Linked DNA regions of Canis lupus familiaris. The protein of the gene in region 2 interacts with the protein of the main gene of each other region in a pairwise test. Links are inferred from orthologs where the notes say so. Each region holds a gene or a part of one and is shown on either strand. Other genes may lie near its edges.

Region 1 (5,086 bases), on a different chromosome or scaffold from region 2:
GAGGAGCCCAACACAGGGCTCGATCTCATGACCCTGAGCCAAAATTAAGAGTCGGATGCTTAACCAATTGAGCCACCCAGGTGCCTCGATATTTTTAAAATGTGGACACAAACTAGACTCAATATCTCACGTTTGTTTAGGCCCTGCTCAGTACTGGCCACCACCAAAGGTACAGATCAGTGCTATCCCACAGGACATCCTGTGATGACACAGGTGTTCTCTACCTGGCCATCCAGCATGGCCACTGTCAGCCTCATGTCCAAATGCTGTGATAAGAATTAAAATTTAATTCAAATTTTATTTTTTTATTTTTTAAAGATTTATTTATTTATGATAGACACAGAGAGAGAGAGAGAGAGAGAGAGAGAGAGGCAGAGGAGGCAGAGACACAGGCAGAGGGAGAAGCAGGCTCCATGCAGAGAGCCCAATGCGGAACTCGATCCCGGGACTCCAAGATCACGCCCTGGGCGAAAGGCAGGCACTAAACCACTGAGCCACCCAGAGATGCCCCTCAATTGCTTTTTAGAAGTGGGGAAAAAAGGAATAAAGGATTAACATCAGCGTTAAAAATTTTAACACTCAAGAAAATAAAATAAAAAATAAAGAAAAATAATTTTAATACTGAAGGAGCATTCCATCTTTGTCAGTGTGCTTTTAATATTTCCTTGCAGCGGGCAGCCCGGGTGGCTCAGCGTCTTAGCGACCAGGGGCTGATCCTGGAGACCCCGGATCGAGCCCTGCATCGGGCTCCCTGCGTGGAGCCTGCTTCTTCCTCTGCCTGTGTCTCTGCCTCTCTCTGTGTGTCTCTCATGACTAAATAAATAAAACCTTAAAAGAAATAAAAATTTCCTTTCAGAACTTAAAAATGGACAATTGACTCAATCTTTACAATTAAAAATACAACGAATAGGGCAGCCCTGGTGGCTTAGTGGTTTAGTGCCACCTTCAGCCCAGGACGTGATCCTGGAGACCCAGGATGGAGTCCCAAGTCAGGCTCCCTGCATAGAGCCTGCTGCTTCTTCTGTCTGTGTCTCTGCCTCTCTCTCTCTCATGAATAAATAAATAAAATCTTAAAAAAAAAAAAAATACGATGAATAATGAACTTCCAACTCACTAAAAATTCCCATCAATTCTGCAGAACTTGAGTAAACATCCAAACAGATAATAGCCATTCTGTTGATGTTATAAACTGGACAGCTAACAAAAAACTCTATCATCTTTCCCTCTCAACTCTGAGGTATTATAGACAAATAAAAACTGTATATATTTAAGATGAACAACCGGATGATCTGATACATGTATACACTGGAAATAATCACCACAAACATGCTATTAACACATCCACCACTCACCCAAAATGCATTTTTATTTTTTAATTTTTTAAGATTTATTTATTTATTTACTTATTTATGATATACATAGAGAGAGAGAGAGAGAGAGGCAGAGACACAGGCAGAGGGAGAAGCAGGCTCCATGCCAGGAGCCCGATGTGGGACTCGATCCCGGGACTCCAGCATCGCGCCCTAGGCCAAAGGCCGGCATCAAACCGCTAAGCCACCCAGGGAACCCCCAAAATGCATTTTTAAACACAGAACCCATCTATTTGCTTCAACTTTTAATTGAAGTCAAAGAACTTTTTTTTTCAAATGTGTATTATAATGAGCTAAGCTGCCTTAGAACTGAACTCTCCAAATCTAGAGACATTCTTTTTTTTTTTTTTTTTTAAAGATTTTATTTACTCATTCATGAGAGACACAGAAAGAGAGAGGCAGAGACACAGGCAGAGACAGAAGCAGGCTCCATACAGGGAGCCTGACCTGGGACTTGATCCCGGGTCTCTAGGATAATGCCTTGGGCTGAAGGCAGGGCTAAACCGCTGAGCCACTAGGGTTGCCCAAGAGACACTTTCAAACAAAAGCTAGACACCCAATTGTCTGACTCTGAAGTCAGATGTCTGCCTTGACAGATCTTATACAATGTACATTCACGAATCTTATTTTCCTCCTCTGTAAACTGGCGACAGTAATCCATTCCATCAAATTGCTGCAAGGGATTTTTTTAAGCGCAAAGCATGCAGTCTAGCAGTACAAACAGCCACTATACTCATCATCCTGTAAAAGTTGGTCTTCCATTGCAAGATAAAGACTTCAAAGTTCAGATCTATTCTAGTTGTGAAATTTTAATTATACCAGAAATTCTTTAAAATGACCAAATAATTTCAGTTTGTGTGAAAACAGCAAAACCACCAACATATAAATTATCCATTTCATTTCACATTGAACTACACTGTAGGCAGTTATTAAAAATCTATAGATTCTAACTAGAAAGGACGTTGTACGTATGTATTTACGTTTTAGTACAGCTGACTAGAGACATTTTAAAGTCACTTGATTTACCTGAACATCTCTTTGGATTTCAGGGAAAAAGCCTAAGTATTGAAAAATTTCGCATCATTGCTTTAAATGATTACATAGATAGAAGTTAAGCTGAACTACGTGAGCGAAGACAAAGTGAACTATTTGGTCCATAAATGTAATCAAACCAACCAAACTTGCCTCATGAAAACAAATGACATAATATCACATGATGCATTCCAAAACTAAGTGATCTTTAAATTACTGTAACCTTGTTTTCTCCTTAACACAAATAATTGTTTAATTACAGAATTACTAAGTAGCCTTTAATTACAAAATTAAAGTTACAATTAACAGAGTCCCTTCAACTTCAAATACCTTTTCAGCAACATTCTGAGTTGGTTTCAGCTTCCCTTTGGCCATGAGCATGGCATTGATTTTGGCAGCCACAGCAGCAGCAGCGTCCAAGGCTCCAGAAGGAGCAGCCGCGGAGCCCCCAGGGCTTCCCCCACTGCTGGGCACCTCCGCACCTGGGGCTGCCGGCGGGAGGAACAGAAGGGGGGCTGGAGCTGGCTGGTCCCATTTGCTGCGGCGTCTACAAGGAAGAGGAAAACGTGAGGCTTCGAAGCTTTTCTATCATTCTTCCCTTACCACGCTCTGGCACCCCGCTTCCCCGCTACCACGTTCTCTTTACACCCTCGAGTCTCTATCAATATTAAAATTACCATTCCCCCCCCCCCCCCCCCCCGAACAGACACAATTGCTGCAGTATCTCCTTACTTCCTTCCTCCCTCTCAAAACGCTCCAGTCAGTCCCACATACCCTCGTTCTCATCTTCTCTTGGCCGGTGCTCCCGAAAGCCTCGGCCTTCCTCCTCCTCCCCCCCTTCCCTGCCGGCCTTTTTCGGGCGCCCCAAGGCCTGCTTACCATCTTCCTCCCCCTAAGCCCAGCCCTCTGACACGTACGCGTACCACCTCAGCGCCCCCCCACTTCCCGCAGGCAGCTCCCTTTGGCCCCTCCGCCTCTCCTCCGCCCCGTGCGGGCTGCGATGCCCTCGCCCACGAAAGCTTTACCCGCCAGCCCCGGGATGCGTCGCGCTCCCCGCGGACATGGCGACCGGCTCTGCTCAACCACCCGCCAACTACCCCACTACCACCCTCCCGTCACTTCCGCCCCCAACGCCCTCACGCACAGCCCCTTCCGGTCGTGTAGAAAAGCTGTTCCGGTGGAAGCGTCGGTTCCAATTGGACTCTTGTGGATTTCGAGGCGTCTGGCGTTATCGGAGACAGGTAGGGTGTGACCTTCCTGCTTGCGCCCTGCCCTGGAGAAAGATGGCGGCTGAAGCGCGCATCGGGGCGGAATTGGGAAGAGGAGGTTCATGTTTGTTGTGGGCAGGTTGGTAGTCTACAGGACAATACGCATGAGTCAGGGAATTAAACAAGTGTTTCCCTCAGTCCAGCCGCGTCCTCTGGCCAAGGAGAGAGGACGCCGAAGCCCGCAACTTTGGCCCGCTTCATGTTTCAGTTACCTGTTTAGGAAAAGGCAAATGGTTCATCCCAAAGGTCATGTGGAGAATTCTCCGGTGGTTTTACGTCTGTGTGCCAACCATTGATTTCAAAGCGGGGCTTCGGGGGCGCGCCGCGAGGGGGCGCCGGCGCCCGGGCGGGAGAGCGGAGGTGAGGGGCGGGTGAGGGGCTCGGAGTGGGCCGTGACCGCTGACTGACCCCGTTGGCGGGTCTTGGAGCTGTGAGGAGACTCTCTTCAGTGGATAGCCCGCAGCGCTGTTTTTCTAGTGAGTTCACATGCTGGTAGGATTAATAGACTGCAGATTAACTTGAAATCCAAACTCGTGTTTTCCCTTCAGCGTTTAATAAATTACCCTTTGGTACAAACACCATCTTTATCATTTATGAAATTTTATATATACGATAATATGTTTTTTCAGTCTTTTGCGTGGATTTGTTCTTTTGCTACGGCATCTATTGAATACTTCTATATTTAATATCTGTTAGGGCAAGCCAATTCTCATTGCCTTCTATATTTCCTTGCCTTTTCTGACAGGTGTATTTTTCTAAAGAATGTCAGATTAAGAGATCCCTGGGTGGCTCAGAGATTCAGCGCCTGCCTTCGCCCCGGAGCATGATCCTGGAGTCCCAGGATCGAGTCCCACGTCGGGCTCCTTGCATGGAGCCTGCTTCTCCCTCTGCCTGTGTCTCTGCCCCCCCCCCCCCCCCCCCGCCCTCCTCTCTGTGTGTCTCTCATGAATGGATAAATAAAATCTTAAAAAAATAAAAATTAAAAAAAAGAAGAATTTCAGATTAAACAGCATTGTTTTCTTTTTGCCCCTTGCCCCCAAATACAATGTTGTTGGGAGTCTGAAAATACATTGTTGGGGGGAGGGTGCCTGGATGGCTCAGTTGGTAGCAGATGTGACTCTTGATCTCAGCTCAGGTCTTGATCTCCGGGGTCATGGCTTAAATCCCCAGGCTGGCCTCCATACTGGGCATGAAGCTTACTTCAAAAAAAGAAAAGGAGGGGCGCCTGGGTGTCTCAATCAATCATTAGGTGTCTGCCTTCAGCTGCCTTCAACTCCTCCTCTCCCTCTGCTCCTCCCCTCACTTGTGCTCTCTCTCTCTGCCAGATAAATGAATAAGGTCTTTTTTTAAAATTACATTATTTTTTCCTTTTTTTTAAATGATATTTATAAACTATATTACTTTTTATAAAAGAGT
Region 2 (4,496 bases):
AAAGCTCTGAACGATGGCTGACTAGGCAAAGCAGAGATTCCATCACCCCAGTAGGGAGTAGTGGCAGAGCCAGATGACCCTCAGCCAGCTGGCCTTGGCTGCTATCTGCTGTGCCATCCACTCCAGGGAAGCATGCAGAGCTTAGGGCACCAGGGTCAGACTCCCTGGGTTCAAATCTGGGGTACAGCACCAAGTGAGGCTCTATGTGTTCGCATCTATGACACAGGAGGATGAGGATGACCCACATGGGGCGTACACCTGAAATAGGGCCTGAGACCAGAGCTATAAATGACTGCAGACCCTGAGTGAACGACGGTTCTGAAGCAGGGGACTATTATCGTACAGAGTCACACAGCCAGAAAATGGGGATACCAATCAATCCCAGTGCCCAAAATCAAGCCCCTGGCAACATCCGCTCCCAATAGGATGGGCAGGGCAGCCCGGGTGGCTCAGTGGTTTCGTGCCACCTTCAACCCGGGGCCTGATCCTGGAGAACTGGGATCGGGTCCCACATTGGGCTCCCTGCATGGAGCCTGCTTCCTCTGCCTGTGTGTCTGCCTCTATCTATGTCTCATGAATAAATAAATAAAATCTTAAGAAAAAAAAAAAAAGGATGGACAGGCTCCTCCTCCCTGACCACACATCCACTCCTTCAGAGGGTCCACCTGGCACACACCTCCTCTCTGAAGGCCACACTAGACCCCCAAAGGCTGAGCAATCTTTCCCTGTGCCTAGAATACCACTTTCTCCTACCATGCACTCACCACCAGACCAGGCAGAATAGGACTCTGCCAAGGGAGTGGGTATAAGGGAGTGGGTACATGGGGGTGAGGCCCCAGTGGCAGGAGCCTGATGAGGGGGCGGGGGGGGGGGGGGGATTAGGACTCGGCCCTGCACGGGGAAGGGAGCCTGGCATGGCAGTGGGCGGGTGCTCACAGCTGAGCTGAACTCACACTGAATAACTACTGGGCTCCCCTGCTTCCAAAGACAGCTCTGGCCCACCCCCCACCTCAGTCTCCCTCTTGTCTTCAAAGAACCACCAGGATCCTGTCACCAGCACTCAACAGCAAGGCCTGACTTCAGGGGCAGATGAACTCAAGATTTCACAACCCCAAGTGATGCATGTTTAATCAACACATTTCCATCAAGGTCAGAAAGTTGCCTTCCAGGTTCCTGAACTGTTTCTCTTCCAGCCAAGAACATCTGCTAAATTTTATCACACATGCTTTCCTCTTTAGCCTCCTTGTATAATAAAATTGTTTTTTTTTTTAAACCAAAAAATGAAGACTGAAATATGAACTTCGCTATGAAAAGGTAACTAGAAGATGCTCAATCTACAAGCACAATCACACTTCCTGCCACCTGCCCAGGCACTAGTACTGCAGACCCTCAGGTCCCTCTGGGTGAGCAAATCCCAAAGAACAGAGATGGATGATGACCCACGCTTCAGCTGCTTAGTCACGCCAATAGTTACGTCTAGAAAGGGGCCCATGAATCTGGGAAGACGATCCAATACAAGCTATCCCTGACCCGCGAGGTCTCTGTTCCCACACGGTAAAGGGCCTGTGTCAGAAGGTGCTATGGAAGACCGCACAGCACCAACTCTAGAGACCATTATCATGCCTTGCCTTGCTCTCCTCCGGTCTGAAACAGGATCGCGGTACACACAACAGTGGCTGGCAAGCCTCTCACCAAAGAGCTGGGTGGCAAACATTTTCAGTTTGTGGGCCACGGGGTCTCTCATCCAAACTGACCGCTGCTGCAGAAAAGTCATACAGACGCTAGACAACGAGTGGACTCGGCTCTGTGCCAGTTAATCTTTATTTAAAAAAATGGGCAAGGGGCACCTGGCTGGCTCAGAAGGTGGAGCACATGCCTTTTGCTGAAGTACATGGAGTACAGTGAGTACATGAGTACACACCGGACGCAGAGCCCACTTTAGGAAAACAGGCTTACTGGTAAGCTACATTTGACCCCTAGCTGTCAGTTGCAGACTTTGTACTACACAGCTGTCACAAAAACTAACCTGATCCATGGACCCCACTCGGCAAAGTGCCTGACATAGTAAGCTTCGACAAGTAAGCAGGCTCCTTATATAATTAAAAACATCTTAAGAAGGGATCCCTGGGTGGCTCAGCAGTTTGGCGCCTGCCTTTGGCCCAGGGCACAATCCTGGAGTCCCGGGATCGAGTCCCATGTCAGGCTCCCGGCATGGAGCCTGCTTTTCCCTCCTCCTGTGTCTCTGCCTCTTTCTCTATCACAAATAAAAATAAATAAATAAATCTTTAAAAAAAAAAAAAAAAAATCTTAACACCTGGGTGGGGGCAGCCCTTGGTGGCGCAGAGGTTTAGCGCTGCCTGCAGCCTGGGGTGTGATCCTGGGGACCCTGGATCGAGTCCCACATCAGGCTCCCTGCATGGAGCCTGCTTCTCCCTCTCCCTGTGCCTCTGCCCCTCTCACTGTGTCTCTATGAATAAATAAATAAAATCTTTATAAAAAGAAAAAAAAAAAAAGAACACCTGGGTGGCTCAGTGATTGAGCATCCACCTTCAGCTCAAGTCGTGATCCCAGGGTCCTGGGAGTGAGTCTCAGGGAGGTTGCTTCTCCCTCTGCCTGTCTCTACCACTCTCCCTCTCTCATGAATAAATGAATAAAACCCTTAAAAAAATAAACCTTAAAACACTAAATTTATTTTGCACAGGGGCGCCTGGCTGACTCCCATCAGTTAGGTACCAACTCTTGATTCTGGCTCAGGTGTCATGATCTTGCAGTTGTGGGACCGAGCCCACAGTCAGGCTCTGCCCTCAGTGTGGAGTCTGCTCCAGATTTCGCCCCACATCCAACCCCACCTGCGCACATGTGCACGCTTTCTCTAAAGTAAACTCTTAAAAAGAGATTCACTTTAATACAAAGCAACGGCCTATAACTTCATCTAGAAATGCTCTCACAGACGTGCACCCACACAGAAATCATCTGATCAAACACTTAGTACATGTCAACATCGAAAAATACGCCTCAGTTACCGGAAACATTAGATCCACCAAACTTACCAAATTTATTACGGTGGAAAACACTGGAAACAAGGCAGGGAACCAGCACCCAGTCCTGAGGTGTCACCCTCTCTGGGACTCCATGTCCCCCGCTTTGTCAGCAGTGGACTCGATTTCTAAAAGGTGTCCTTCAGGGCGAAGCCTCAGCCAGCAGAAACCCACCTTCTGCTCCTCCCCCCCACCCCCTGGCCCAGACCATCCATGCCTACCACCTTTACTGGGAGAACACCAGGGACCTAAGATCCAGGCCCCCCAGTTCCACCACAGCACTGGCTTCTCCAAGCCCACTTTGCTCCCTGCACTCCAACAGGGCCTCCCAGAGGCACAAATCCTCACTTTCACCCATCTCACCACAGGGGACGGCAACCAGCCTGTAAGTCGAGTTAAGCCGGCTGTCTTTTTGTATAGCCTGCAAGGTTTTTTAGAAGCTATTGCACAACGTGTGGGTAATATACCAGGGCCACACCCACTCATTCAGCTATCACGAGGCGGCATACAGGTTGCCACGTCACAACAGAACAATTGTGACCCAGGTGACCCAGTCGGTATGGCCCACAAAACCAAAGATATTTACTATCTGACCCTTTTCAGGAAAAGATCACCGATTCCAGTCTGCTATGATCTCCACTGACCCAGACTACTACTAAACGTGGCTGTGGGGAATAGCCCAAAGCACAGAAGTCAGGAGAAACAGAGGCCAGACAAGGGAACGTCCAGCAGCCGACCCCACACTGAGAAACTGCTTGTGTTCACACTATGAGCTCACACGCTTATGCTCACAAAGTCCCAGAGCCAGAGCAGGAATGACAGCCAGGCAGCAAACCCTTCACCTCCCTCAACACCTCCCACAGCCACTGTGCATTCTCCTAAGGTTTGGGGAGATGGATGAGAAGCATTCATGCCATCTCCCAAGTAGCTCCAGCGGGGCTGGAGAGGGAAGCGTGGGACAAGGCCCCCACTCACCAGGGACGTAGACAGAGGGGTTCTCCGACATGCCAGGCAGGGGTTGGTAGTCATGAGGCCTACGGATCTTCAGCGACTGGCCCTGGAAGATGATGCCATCAAAGGCCATGGCCTGGGTGGTCTCATCCACTGAGCGGAACTGAAAGAGAAGGTGGTGGTACAGTGATGAGGATCAGGGTGCCGGGTGTACCACAGCCTGCAGAAGGGCCCTGGGCAGATCAAGGCTGCTGCAGAGAAAGAACACACACCTTCTGACCCCACAATGCAACCCGCTCACCTCCAAGAAAGCAAAGTTCTTGTCCTGGTTAATCTGCACAGCCAAGACGGGGTTGCCAGGAGCCTGGGTCAGACCCCCAAGGCGCATCTGGGCGTTGAAGAAATCCATCATGGCCTCCTGCAGAGGGAATAGGAGACAGGGGGGGGGCGGGGGGAGGGAGGTGGAGAGAGGAGGGGAGGGTGAGAGAGGGAGACACAGAGGGGTTT
Region 3 (5,146 bases), on a different chromosome or scaffold from region 2:
GTGAAATCCGTGGAATAAACAAGCAAACCCCGGGAATAACCCAGTCTGAGAAATGAGTTCTAGCTTCTTTTTTGATCCTATCATAACAAAGATTGGCAAACATACAACCTGAAAACAAGACTGAAAAAGCCTACCCAAAGACCAGCTTTTCTATTCCTCCTACTTCCAGGCAGGTATTCCTTAACCCAGCCTTGACCTGTAGGTTTCCTTTTTTTTTTTTTTTTAACTTATTTATTTATGATAGTCAGAGAGAGAGAGAGAGAGAGAGGCAGAGACACAGGCAGAGGGAGAAGCAGGCTCCATGCACCGGGAGCCCGACGTGGGATTCGATCCCGGGTCTCCAGGATCGCGCCCTGGGCCAAAGGCAGGCGCCAAACCGCTGCACCACCCAGAGATCCCGGTTTCCCTTCTTTTTAGAGATGAAAAAAAAAAAAAGAAGGAGGGCTTATCCAGGTAAGCCATCCAATATTAAAGCTCTTAATCTGGACAGCCTAAGTGGCTCAGTGGTTTAGTGCTGCCTTCAGCCCAGGGCCTGATCCTGGAGACCCAAGATCAAGTCCCACATCAGGCTCCCTGCATGGAAACTGCTTCTCCCTGTGCCTGTATCTCTGCCCCCCGCCCCATGAATAAATAAATAAAATCTTAAAAAAAATAAAATAAAGCTCTTAATCTGGGGTGGCTGGGTGGCTCAGTGAGTCAAGCATACGACTCTTGATTTTCAGCTCAGGTCATGATCTTGGAGTTATGGGATTGAGATTCCTACACTGGGCTGCACACCTAGTGTGGAGCTTGGGATTCTCTTTCTCCCTCTCCCACTGGCCTTCCACCAGGTTATTTAAAAAAAAAAAAAAAAAAAAAAGGCTCATCATCCTGGGCACCTGGCTGGCTCAGTCAGTAGAGCATGCAACTCTCAATCCCAGGGTTGGGAGTTCAAGCCCCCGCATTGAGAATGTGTTGAGCCTACTTCAAATAAATAATTTTTTTAAAAACAATAAAGTTCATAATACCTAAGAATGTTGTCACATTTCTCTGTAGTCATAGTCATCCCCATGGAAATTCTGTACCCAGATCATTTTATGTTCTACGAGATCTCTATCAGTTGACTTCACAAAATTAATCCCTCAGCTCAGAAAAGAATACCCTCATTTTGGATGTGCTTTCTCTCCCTTTTCTTTCTTTCTTTCTTTTTTTTTTTTTAAGATTTATTTATTTGAGACACAGAGAGAGAGGCAGAGACATAGGCAGAGGGAGAAGCAGGCAGCCTGATGCAGAACTCAATCCCAGGACCGTGGAATCATGACCTGAGCCAAAGGCAGACACTCAACCACTAAGCCATCTAGGCACTCCTCTCTCCCTTTACATCTTTATTCCTTTCTTTTTAGCTTTTAGCTTAGCAGAGAAAACATTATCATAAAGAACTCTCTATAACAAATTTTAATTATTTACCCAAGTTAGCAATTCTTCAAAATTATTCATGTTTACATTTTGCTCTCCTAGTTAAACAGTAAAGCCTGGAATGCCTGGGTGGCTCAGTGATTGAGCGTCTGTGTTCAGCTCAGGGAGTGATCCCCCCCAGGTCTGGGGATCGAGTCTCACATTGGGGTCTCTGCGAGAAGGCTGCTTCTCCCTCTATGTCTCTGCTTATGTCTCTGTGTCTCTCATGAATAAATCTTAAAAAAAAAAAAAATAGCATAGCTCATGAGCAGAGAGAAAATGTTATTTCCCTGATTTTCTCACTAAGTGCCTAAAGCTAATAAACAGCACTGACCTCAATTTTCAAGCTAACTTCCTCACAGCAGTGCTACAAATCAGGGTCTCTGAGAGTCAATCTTTCAAGATTTTTTGTTTATTTTTTAAAGACTTTATTTGAGAGAGAGAGAACATATGAGCGGTGGGGAGAGGCAAAGGGAGAGGGAGAAGCTGAATCCGGACTTGATCCCAGGATGCTGGGATCATGACCTGAGCTGAAGGCAGATGCCAAATTGACTGAACCACCCAGGCACCCCTCAAGATATTTTAAGACATCTTTTTTCTCTTAAAAGATGGTCTAATTAACTTCTACTTTCTTGGCAGGTTTATTCTCTATAAGACCTGTTGCTAAACTGTGTATTTAATTTTGGTATAACCACTGGAAGCTAGTAGATTAACGTAATGAAAATAGGAGTGAAAGATTTTGTGTGCCTCAGGACATGTTATATGAATAATTCTATGGCAGCTCTACTCACCTCTCATGATATAGCAGTATAGTGTATAAATCAATACATATTAAATGTACGTTACTCAAAAGAAGCAGATTCAGACCCCAAAATGAGTGAAGAAAAGAGTTCACACTGAACATTTGAAATATCGAACTCTTATTTGGCAAGTAATTCCTCTGAGCCTCAGTTTACTTGTCGTACAAAATGAAGCCAATTGCCATATCTAAATAATCCTTAATCATTCAATAAACACTGCATAAGTACTAGGTCTCAAGCAGTGTACTGTGTGCTGAGGATACAAGTGAACAGACAATCCTCGCCTTAATGGGGCTTATATTCCACCAGAATTGAATCATGGGCTAGAAAGGGTAAGCATTTTGAAAATCCAAAGAACAAATCACGTACCGCTCTATCAGATGAAATGTGTGCTCAAGTACCATACTAACAAATGTATTCAACTTCAACCCAATCCTCTAGGAAATTAAACAGTCAGTGGGCAAAAATAAAAGTTTCAAACAGTAACTAGCTTTTTGTCACTAATCAAATGTTCGACAATAACTGCCTCGGGCGGGGCGGGGGTGGAAGTAGAGGAAGGCAGGATCTCTGAGCAGGTAGGAGAATCCAATCTTCTGAAAAATTTCCTTACTCCGTGTTCTTCCCTGCTAACCTGACTTTCCCCCCTGCAACTCCCATTCTTCTGTTTGCTATCTCCGACCGGTTCCCTACCCCACCCTGTTCTCCCCAAACTCCTCATCTTACAGCTAGTCTCCCCACCCCGTCCCCTTCCCGCCCCCGCCCTTTTCCTCCTCACAATCTCACTCCAACCCATTCTCCCTCAGAACCCTGTACTTCTCTCAGCTTCCTTCCCACTGAACGTTCCCGCCTCGGTCCTCCCCGTGGGCTGAGTCCCGGCCCTCGCTGCTCAGACAGGAGGATACCCTCAAAGGGCCCGGGGCACTACTCACCTCACAAACTTCAGCCTCTGAGACGGAGCCCGAACGTTACACCGGAACCGGAAACCCTCGGACCGCCCTACGGCCTGCCGTCGCTACCGCCACAGCTGCCGCCACGCCGCGGTCCCCCACATGTGACGGCGAAGGGCCGGGCCACCGATTTGCGCAGCCGTAGTAGCTACTTTCTCTGCGGCGGAGCGCATGCGTGCCAGGGCAGTAAAGTTTGCGCATGAAAGTTCCTGCGTCTTTGGGTTTCTCCAGCTAAATCTGGTAACTAGATTACTGCGAAGTTAATGTTGCCTGAAGCAGAAATTGGGCTTGCAGTACTCACAGTGTGAATAAATGCGCTAAAAGCGAGGCTTCTGGGACGCCTGGGTGGCTCAGTGGTTGAGAGCCTGCCTTGGGCCCAGGGCGTGATCCTGGAGACCTGGGATCGAGGCCCACGTCGGGCTCCCTGCATGGAGCCTGCTTCTCCCTCTGCCTCTGTCTTTGCCCGCCCCCCCCCCCCATGATTAAATAAATAAAAATCTAAAAAAAATTTTTATTATTATTATTTTTTTTTAAAAAGCGAGGCTTCTGGGTTCGGGCTAAACTGAGCCTTTCTGGTAGGCAGTAAACCATCTTGAGAGGCGGCACCACTTTAACCTTTTTCCCTTACTTAAGTGTAGTGTCAGAGACCACCAAGAAAAATGACTAACATAGGACGACTCCGAAGATAGCATGCCCTCCATCTGTGCCTTTTATGGTTTCATTCATTCATTGGCGTAATACTTATTGACTGCCTACTGCCATATGCCAGACATCCTCTGAAAATCGATATTGCTTAAACTAAGGACAGGGGCTTTAAAGTCAGACTGCCGAGATTTGTATTCTAGATCTCACGCGTTAGCTATGAAAGCAGGCAAATTACTGAAGCCCTGTTTCCTCACCTGTTAAAAAAAATTCTCTTCACAGGGGCTGCTCTGAGGTCAACAATGACAGAATGAGGGTAATGCACTTAAAACAGTGCTTTTCATAGAGTTAAATAAGCTATATTACATATAATAGTCAATTGCCTATTTAGTCTGGAACACATCTTAAGTTTACACGATAATGAAAACTAAACTCATGATTTCACACCGCATCCGCCCTGCCAAAATACCAGCTCCAAGTCTTCATTCTCAGTTAAGAGCAACTGTATTACAGTTTCGGCAGGCCAATAATCTTGGAATCATCCTGGACTCCTGTGTTCTGTTGGTCCTGCTTTCAAATACATACAGAACCCACTTGTTTCTCACCACCTCCACTACTCTCATTTTTATGTTTCGATTATTTTAGGAGCCTCCTGCTTCCAGTCTGTCCCCCTTTTGTCTCATAATGTAGGTTAATAAGCAAATTATCTAGTACTAGAAAGGCAGCTATTATAGTGACCATGTAAACACCTCAGAAAGGTCGTTATGTCCTTGCTTAAAACCATTTCTTGGCTCTTCATACAATTCAGAGTAAAATGTGCCACTCTATTACCTCTGTGATTTCAACCTACCACCACTCTTTCCCTCACTCATTCAACTCCAGAATCGTAATCCCTTTTACTCCTTGAACATGCCAAGGATAATTTCACCTCAAGGTCTTTGGATTTGACGTTCTCTACATGGATTGCTCTTTATCCAAGTATAGGATTTGCTTCCTCCATCCCCTTCAAATTTGTATTCAAATATGACTTCAGTGAAGCCTTTCCGATCACCCTGTTAAATTCTGAAGCCTGTTTGGCACTCTCAATTCCCCTTATATTTCTTTTTTCCATAGAACTTCGTACCACCTACCATATCAGTACTAGTTTATTTATGCTTACTGCTTATCATTTGACTCCCTCTGCTAGAATATAAACTCCTTAAAGAGAGGAATCATTGTCATTGATATATCCTAAATGCCTACAGAAGCACGTGGCACAATTAAACAAGTATCTGTTGAAGTAAAGAATGAATATTTTTTGGCAGCAGATCTTGCAGGCCTCAG

What was found.
Region 1: the proteins of U2AF2 (region 2) and KHDC4 interact in binary tests that used the Homo sapiens proteins (3 or more experiments, as listed by UniProt). The two-hybrid records come from large-scale screens. The link is inferred for Canis lupus familiaris from reciprocal best matches to the Homo sapiens genes U2AF2 and KHDC4.
Region 3: the proteins of U2AF2 (region 2) and PRPF3 interact in binary tests that used the Homo sapiens proteins (3 or more experiments, as listed by UniProt). The link is inferred for Canis lupus familiaris from reciprocal best matches to the Homo sapiens genes U2AF2 and PRPF3.

What each region holds. Positions count from the first base shown.
Region 1 is NC_049228.1:41,859,554-41,864,639, reverse strand, and holds the start of KHDC4 (KH homology domain-containing protein 4), read right to left. Parts: upstream 3,550-5,086; 5' UTR 3,466-3,549; coding exon 3,428-3,465; intron 2,950-3,427; coding exon 2,733-2,949; intron 1-2,732.
Region 2 is NC_049222.1:102,846,623-102,851,118, forward strand, and holds part of U2AF2 (splicing factor U2AF 65 kDa subunit), read right to left. Parts: intron 4,408-4,496; coding exon 4,291-4,407; intron 4,153-4,290; coding exon 4,014-4,152; intron 1-4,013. UniProt on the Homo sapiens protein: Plays a role in pre-mRNA splicing and 3'-end processing. By recruiting PRPF19 and the PRP19C/Prp19 complex/NTC/Nineteen complex to the RNA polymerase II C-terminal domain (CTD), and thereby pre-mRNA, may couple transcription to splicing.
Region 3 is NC_049238.1:60,208,010-60,213,155, reverse strand, and holds the start of PRPF3 (U4/U6 small nuclear ribonucleoprotein Prp3), read right to left. Parts: upstream 3,550-5,146; 5' UTR 3,164-3,549; intron 2,872-3,163; exon of another isoform or gene 2,604-2,871; intron 1-2,603. UniProt on the Homo sapiens protein: Plays a role in pre-mRNA splicing as component of the U4/U6-U5 tri-snRNP complex that is involved in spliceosome assembly, and as component of the precatalytic spliceosome (spliceosome B complex).